Linked DNA regions of Xenopus tropicalis. The protein of the gene in region 1 purifies or fractionates together with the protein of each later gene. This does not show direct contact. Links are inferred from orthologs where the notes say so. Each region holds a gene or a part of one and is shown in the gene's direction. Other genes may lie near its edges. The genes, in order: snap25 and stx12.

Region 1 (4,372 bases):
GTACCCTCCTCCCCCTCAGTTCCGCTACAGGATTATAAAACAACTAAGGAAATGTTTCATTTTTTTTTAATTTAAAGGGATTCTGTCATGATTTTTATGGGGTACTTTCTAAATTACACAGTTTACATAGCTAATAATTCACTCCACCATTTAAAATTTTATTCTTGAACCAACAAATGTATTTTTTTCAGCTGTAATATTGGTGTGTAGGCGCCATCTCAGTGCAGAGAGTCTGAGCTTTCAGATGTAGCCAGCGCTACACATTATAACTGCTTTCAGGTAACCTATTGTTTCTCCTACTCCCATGTAACTGGAGGAGTCCCAAGCCGGACTTGGATTCCTTACTATTGAGTGCTATTCTGATACCGGGAGCTGCTATCTTGTTCCCTTCCCATTGTTCTGCTGATCGGCTTCGGGGGGGGGGGATATCACTCCAACTTGGGGCGCAGCAGTAAAGTGTGACTGAAGTTTATCAGAGCACAGGTCACATGGCTGTGGCACCCTGGGAAATGAAGAATATGGCTAGCCCAATGTGAAATTTCAAAATGAAATATAAAAAAATATGTGTTTTTGAAAAATGGATTTCAATGCAGGATCCTGCTGGAGAAGCTAATGCTTTTTTTAAAACAACATGTTTTCCCATGACTGTATTCCTTAATATAGGTACCTGTGAGATGCCCCCCTGACGCTGCAGCCCTAGGCAAGAGCCCTTGGGTGCCTATATGATCAGTACAGCCCTTCCCACTTGAAATTAGTCTGAAGATCTAAACCTAAAAGGTAACTAAAGCTCAGCAAGTAATTTGGCTAGAAATGCTAGAACCTGTTATAAGTGATGACTAAACCCAGTGTTTATACCTGCATCCCCCCCCCCCCCCCCCCATTCAGTCGCAGCATCCTAGGAAATCTCTTATAGCGCCAGTATAGCCAGGCTGCCCACGTAGGTTTCCCATATAAGGAGCACCCACCAGAGAGGGATATCCCTTTGCACCACCCCTTTGGCGAAAAGAAATCCGTGCTGCATTAGCCCAGAGCAAGGCACCCAGCCGCACCCCCACCCTCACATTGTACAGCCAATCTATCCCGCAGCTCATTAGTCGCAAAGAATCCATCTTGGAGCCGTTATACGGCAGCATTGTCAGGGAGGGGGCGATGCGCGAAAATCAAGGCGCATATATTAAAATGCGAAGGATTGCAGCACTGTAAGGCAGACGATGACTCAAGCTCCCCCAGCCCGATCCCTCCGCCCCATGATAGATGTCTATTAAAAGCTGCTGACGTCAAGAAGGACGGCCATCTTTGATGAGGGCAGAGCTCAGTTCCATTGAAGAAGACGACTTGAGGAGGTCAGGAACGGTGGTTCTTACCTCCCTGCAAATACTGCCTTCAAATAAGGTTGTAGAGTAGCCTTAGAGTCTGGTTACGCCCTACTCACGGTAAGACTACCACTGCTTGTCGCTTCTACGTTTTCCTATTGCATTACTATTTATCCAACCTTTAGCCCAAGATTGCGATTGTTGTATGTGTCTACAAATCAGGTCTGGGGCTGTCAGTCGAATGGAAGGCGGCGTTTTTTTTTTTGTTATTTTTAATCTCGCTTTTGAACAAATTTATTTTCGTGTTGCACAGGCTGCAAGGGATTTAATCATCCTTGGCGTTTGTCGCAAGGAAATCGGGCTTTTCCGCGTCCCTTTGGGCACAGCGCTCGGCTCTGTAGGAATAGACGTGAGAGCAGCCCCATAGACTGTGCTTGTGGGCGGTTTCAGCACCGCAGCTCGGCGGACAGCGCTCTACTGCAGAGTGAGTGCAGCAAAAACGCCCGCTCCCTGCCGCAGCGTCTGGCACCGACACGCTGTACTGTAGGGAAGGGATTTACTCGCCTCCAGCCTATACCTTACCCCACAGCAGATTTGTGGGCTTCTGGCTGCGATTATTATGATCAGATAGTGCCAGGGGCACTGCTAACATTAGCTGCCATACTTTATAGAATGTATACGCGTTCCTGACCTCCAACAAGGTGTAGTTAGATACTGGATAGATGGGTACATGCTAGATAGATAGATCAATGACAGATAGATATAGTGTATATGTATCTGATATGTCCAAACAGCTGTTGTTGAACTACAACTTACTCTGAAACTCCCAACAGCCTTGTAACTTCACAACAGCATGTTGGGGGCATAGGTTGCATATCTCATGTGTGGGATATAAAGGTGTGCAGTGTATGTTCGCATGTTTCATATTAAATTCATATGTAAAGGTATATATTTTTATATGAAGAGCTTAGAACTTCAAAGACTAATGGGGGGGTGGGAATGGTGACACGTCCAGACAGTTCTGCGTACTTGCGTCAAAAGGCAGGCTTTGAAGCTGTTAGATTTACGTGCAGGGGCATTAGTAATTACTGCTGGTTTTGTTACCCACTAGAGAGAAAGCGAGGGGGAGGGGATCTGCATTCTAGCTGAAGAAGGGAGGGAGGCAGGGCACTGCTAGACTTACATCCCTAGTGGCAGAGGAACACATTCAGGGCTGCTGGAATTGTTTGTAGAGCTGCTTCACCTTTACACAGACATTGTAGCTGCTCAGATGGGCGGCAGGGGACTTCTACAGGCAAAACTAACCTGCGCCCTAAGAGAATATTTATCAGAAGCAATTGCACTGCAGTTATTAGCTTGTTTGTGTCTTATACCCATCTCATTTCACTGATAAATAAGATATGTATTACTTGGTCACATGATCAGTGATCAATCAATGCATCTGACAGTGAAACCCAGTAATGATCTATTTTGCAGCAGATTGCCACCTGTCCCTGATAGTAATATTATAGCAAATGGTGCAGTTTCATCATGCAAAGCGATGTGTTGTGGAATGACTGTAAAACAGAGAGACCCCACCCCAATGCACCTTTTCAGCCAGCTCCCAAGGACTGAGTTGGGCACTGCTGTAGCACAGACCATGGCAGCACGTAGCAAGGGAAAAATACAAATAATGTTGGATTTGGTTGAACTGCTATTACAGTACATTTGGATATCTGGTTACGGGTATCTTGCATTGCAAGAACAAAACTCCTAGATTGGTCTATATCTCGTGTTCTATCAGGATAAAGGCTATTACAATGACATTTGTATACCTGTTAAAAGTGTATATATACTGTATATTTAATTCTATGCTCTTCACTTGTTTTATTAACACCTCTGTACTGCAGGTTTGTTTAGACTGTCGGATATTCATTTGCTGATAAATACAGCTGAATACGTTAATGTTAGTGAGTTGAGTAGAACGTAGCTGTAGCATAATCATATAAATTATTGACCTGTAAATGAAGTATATTACAATAGATTCTCCCATTCCACTCATTAATCAAAGGGCGCTCATGTGTTTACATACATAAAACATGATGCAAAGGAAACAGATGGCATTTGTGTACATGGAAGTCCCTTTAATGTAGAGGTTATTCAGAATCAGAATTTGGAATTGGATTTTTGATGCATCTCTGGAGATTGCGAGGCAGGCTGCATTTCTTTTTTTTTTTTTACAACGCAGGAAATGCGTACTGAGGAAAACAGATAGAGGTGCTATATCAGGGGATTACTGTGGATGAGTCCTCTTGTTCAGATCAGTAGGCCAACAACCTGTACAATATCCTGCTTTGAGACTGTCTGGCTAAATAAATGAAGTGACAAATGTGGCATAAACCTCTCCTAATGTCATATAGTGATCTGTATAATATATCATTTGACTATGAGACAGAGCCTTTTACATTCATTAATTTGCCCTATTATCATAGGCACATTTTGGTTAATGCAGGATATAAAGTAATACGTATACATTTGTGTATAATGATTGTTATAGTGCTTCTTATTAATGTAAGCAACTGAAACCCCAGTCCCTCTTTTGCAAACTGCGTCACTGGAACAGCTATTTACAAAAAAACAGGCCTATTGATTCATGGATTCTTGTATTGCAGTATAGTATGGCAGCGCTCCTTTAATACAGCATTGCAGTGAATTTTTGAGCACTGTAACTAATTTTTAATAGTCGGAAAAGTAATGGCTGTTATTTCGCACATAACCACGTTCATGTAATTGGTACATTATTATATGCATTGCCTTTTAGTAATAGAGCTAGGGAAGCAAAGTCAACACAAACCGACAACATTGCATTCACCAACACACTTTATTTGTCCAGGTGTGATTAATTGTTCAAGTCAGAAGGCAAACAATGAAATCCGAATATTACAATTGTCCTGGTTTCATCAATAGCCTTGTGCACACACACTTTTCATAAACAGCGTATCATTTCTCTATCAGATATTTATCTGAAGATTCTGCAGGCAATACCTACATTTACCTGTACAGTCTTAAATGGCACAATT
Region 2 (4,262 bases), on another chromosome or scaffold:
TTTAAAAATTCCTGGCGCACCTCTGCTAATTCAAACTACCGTATTTCTACCTCCCACACACACAATACTTTCTTAAAGATGATTCAAAATGCAGTGACGCAAAGATTTTTGCGTGGCACAATACTCATCACTTGCCTCTGTAAGAACAGTAATCCCTAACCAGTGGCTTGTGAGCAACATAGTGCTCGCTAACCCTAGATGTCTCTCCAGGGGGTCTTAAAGCAGGTGCTTGTTTTTTAATTTTTGGCTTGAAGGCAATTTTTAGTTGCATAAAAACCAGGTGTACTGCCAAACAGAGCCTCCTGTATGCTGCCAGTCCTCATAGGGGCTACCAAATAACCAATCACAGTTCTTATCTAGCAACCCCCAGAAACATCCATACATAAAACGCTGCTATCCACTGGCACTGATGGACTTACCAAACTGCCCTCCCTCAGCATTCAGAGTTCCCAAGAAGTCCAACAGATATTACACATCGCCATGTCCAGACTGGGAGTCAAAATAGGCCCTGGCATTTCAAGTACACAAGAGGTCCAAACAGCCCTCTACCAGCCCAATAAATATTAACTGTCTATAACATCTTACAGCAGCTCCTCTGGCATTTGCCAGAACCCATAGATTGCCAGTCCCAGCCTACACATCACTCATATATAATTCCTGTATATATCACCTTGCCCTTTAACAGCAGCCTTGAACATACATATCACACACTATGCTTCAACTGCTTACCTGTTGTACAGGTAAACAACATTTTACTAAAGATCACAATACTTGTCCCCCATGTGCACCCAGCATATTTCTCATCTCCCTCCATTAAATCCAAGTACTAGGGGTGTAGGGAAAAAAAAATAATTAGACCCAGCAATTGCTCCAGGACCTGGGATATTAAGTACCCCATCCTCCAAAGGCGCACTTGCTGATTTTTATAAACCAGCAGAATTCTACATTTGCATTCCTTGTTCTCTTTAAAGGAGTGGCAACAACAGCATCTTTTCCAAGCTGTCACGTGGTATCATGACTGGGAGGCGCTTATCGCTGATAGGAGCCTGACAATTCCTACGTGACATCACGGTCACATGGCTATGACATCACGACTTCCTTAGAGTCGCTTCATCCCACCATCTCTTATACTCAGAAAGGAGGACGGGGCCCTAAGAGGAGCAACATGTCTGGGTACATGAAGCAGCAGAGCCGTGCCCGGGACTTCAACAGCATTATTCAGACCTGCAGCGGCAATGTGCAGAGGATCACAAATAACAGTCAGTATCCCCAGTTTTTCTACAGAGCACCGGTCCTATTCCTGTATATATATCCGTGATCGCAGCGAGCTGCACACACCCGCAGTATATAGATGGGGGTACTGGTGGAGATTTGAAGGACGAATTGTTAGCCATTGGCAATGGGAACTTTTGGACAACAGAGATTAACATGTTATATGGGCCCCTTGTATTATGTGTAATTCCCAGGTGCTACACACCCACTGATGTACAGGAAGGGCGGCTATACTGACACAGCTGGAAATAGAGAAAATTATTTATATAGCATTGCATATATGGAGACTGGACAGTTGGCAAATGACAAAAATCAACTAATGTTTCCTTGTGTTGGTTGGTGGGTGGGTGTACAGTACAGCAGCTATCAGCTGGCATGTTCATTGGCAGAGGGGCACAGAGAAGCAGGGGTGACAGGCAGGAAGGGAGCTAAGTGCAGTGGGAAGTCATTTCCTACTGGAGATTCCTGATTGGGTTACTGTTACCAAGAAGTTACTACTGTTAGGCTTGTCACCTGGTTGGGCTCTTGCTGTGGTTAAACTACACATTACAATATTATCCTAAAGGCAGCATTTGTAGAAATGTAGTTCAGCAACCAGTGAAATCAGGCTGAGCAGTTTTACCCTCGCTTACTGAATTTGTGTTGAGTGGGTTACATTCCTGCCTTACTCCATGGGGGTTTTTTGTTCCCCCCTAACTGCCTGATCACTGCTTTGCAAGCTCAGAGAAAATTTTGGGCGTGGGCACAAGCAGGATTCACCAGGTCAGGCAGGGGCCATGAAATTGTAATATTTCCTTCCTCCCAGCATGACAGCAGGATAGGAGTTCATAATGTGTGATTTATCATGTTGAATGAATGAGACTTGGCAGGAAATATGTATTTTCTTGTATATCATTATGTATTAGATTCACAGTATTGACTTCTGCCAATCATTACATACCCCCAGAAGTAAGTAAATAAATAAATATGGAGTCTTGGTACTACTGGCCTCTGTTCTTCAAGTCTATGTGTAGTTTCATTCTTAAACAAGTGTTCAGCTCTTAATTAAAGGATGCCATGGAATAGTAGTAAATACGTCATAAGAGCAATTTGTCACTCCCTCTATTTGGACTAGACATAAGACATTTACTATCCAAACATACCCATTCCTTAACCATCTTAAAGGGGCATCTTTAACAAAATTACACTTTGCCTGTTGGTCATGTTAGGTTTAGTAAAGTAAAGGAATTTGGGGGGAAAATACCTTACATTTTTACTTGTTAAAAATCCTATGTTTCCGCTTCCATTTGAAAGTGAAATCACATGATTAATGTCCTTAGTCTAAGAAGGCAGCAGTCAGTCCTGTCTTGCTTTATAGCTGAGAATCTAGTTATCTTTATAACAGAACATTCATTGTACTGTGATTCAAGCAGGCTTGGACTGACATGGTATTTTTTTTTAAAAAGGTTTTTTTGAGATGATAGTATCTTAATTATATTCAGTATTTTTAATGAGAAGTGGTAAATGTGCACTCCATGTGAGAGCCTCTAATTAAAAGTGGATATAGCAAGGACGTAATTCATGTAATGAGATTTTTTGTTCATTGTTCACTATGCTGCTGTTTTTCTTTTTGTAATTATAGACTAGCACAGTGCAGTGTTTACAGGAAAATTGCTGCTGTCCTACAAATGACTGTTATTGTATGTTTTGGAATGGCCCAGTTATTCTGCACTGATAACAGCACACTGCTGAGATCTGATAACTGTGTTTTCAGCTTCTCGGTATGCTGTCAAGGTGTGTTGTTGTGTCATACTGATATAAGGTGCACTGTTGTCATGAAGTGCGGTACAGGTTGAAGTTACATAGTCTTTTTCAGATAGGTAATGTTTTATTGGGCATGTTCAGCAAATATAATTTATACAGAGACTTTACAGGTTTTCACAGGAATTTGTTGGTGAAAAAGGTTCCTTCCATAACCTAAAGCTTTAACACTGAAGCCTGGCATCCCCCTACCCCCTTTACTTACCTGTGGCACTTGTCTAGTCAAGGTTGATTTAAACAGTACTTCCAGCCTTGTCGGGTCAGTACCACACCCAAAGCCCAACATCTTCAAAACAGCAGCCATTTCTAAAAAAGAAGTTGAAGTCTGGTACAGGTAAATAAAGAAGGTGCAATATTTTAGTTGTAACTCATTAGAGATGGCCTAGAAAAGGAATATCAATAATAAATATAAATTTCTATTAAAAAAAAAAAAAAACACAGGTACAGGTATGCGACCTATTATCCAGAATGCTAGGGACCTGAGATTTTATGGATAAGGGATCTTTCTGTAATTTGGATCTCCATAGCTTAAGTCTACTAAAAGATTATTTAAAAATTAACCTCAATAAGCTTGTTTTGCTACCAATAAGGATTAATTTTATCTTAGTTGGAATCAAGTTCAAGTAACTGTTCTGTTATTACAGAGAAAAAGGACATTTAAAAAAAATATTAGAATTATAGGCTTATAATGGAGTCAGTGGGAGTCGGAACTTCCTGGATAAGGGGTTTCCTGATAACAGATCCCATACCTGTACAGGTTTGGGATCAGTTATCTGGAAGACTTCAGACCTGGGGTTTTCCGGATAAGAAGTCTTCCCATGATACTGATCTCAGTACCTTTTTTAAATTTGTTAAAAGGAAAAAAATAATCTGCTACCAACATGGATTTTACTAATTTAGTTACCATGCAAGTACAAGGTACTGTTTTCTTATTACAGGCAGTATGGCCACTTATGACCCACCCCCATTCTGGTCGAATCATTGGAATACACAAGTACAGGTGATTTTCACAAAGACCACCCTTGAAAATATGCACAAGGATTTCAGATGAGAATCCCATTATAATCGCCAGTAATAGCTTTTCCATATGTATTATGGGGCTATAATATGAGTCTATTTTTACACTCTTTAAAGTGAAGATAAGTATGCTGGTTACAATTTCTGCCAACTCCTCCTTGCAAAAATTTTCC

The links.
Region 2: the proteins of snap25 (region 1) and stx12 purify together in Homo sapiens (co-immunoprecipitation; 3 studies listed by BioGRID and IntAct, with this or other methods). This does not show direct contact. The link is inferred for Xenopus tropicalis from reciprocal best matches to the Homo sapiens genes SNAP25 and STX12.

The regions. Positions count from the first base shown.
Region 1 is NC_030681.2:26,669,218-26,673,589, forward strand, and holds the start of snap25 (synaptosomal-associated protein 25), read left to right. Parts: upstream 1-1,365; 5' UTR 1,366-1,433; intron 1,434-4,372.
Region 2 is NC_030678.2:83,638,736-83,642,997, reverse strand, and holds the start of stx12 (syntaxin-12), read left to right. Parts: upstream 1-1,144; 5' UTR 1,145-1,165; coding exon 1,166-1,259; intron 1,260-4,262. UniProt on the Homo sapiens protein: SNARE promoting fusion of transport vesicles with target membranes. Together with SNARE STX6, promotes movement of vesicles from endosomes to the cell membrane, and may therefore function in the endocytic recycling pathway.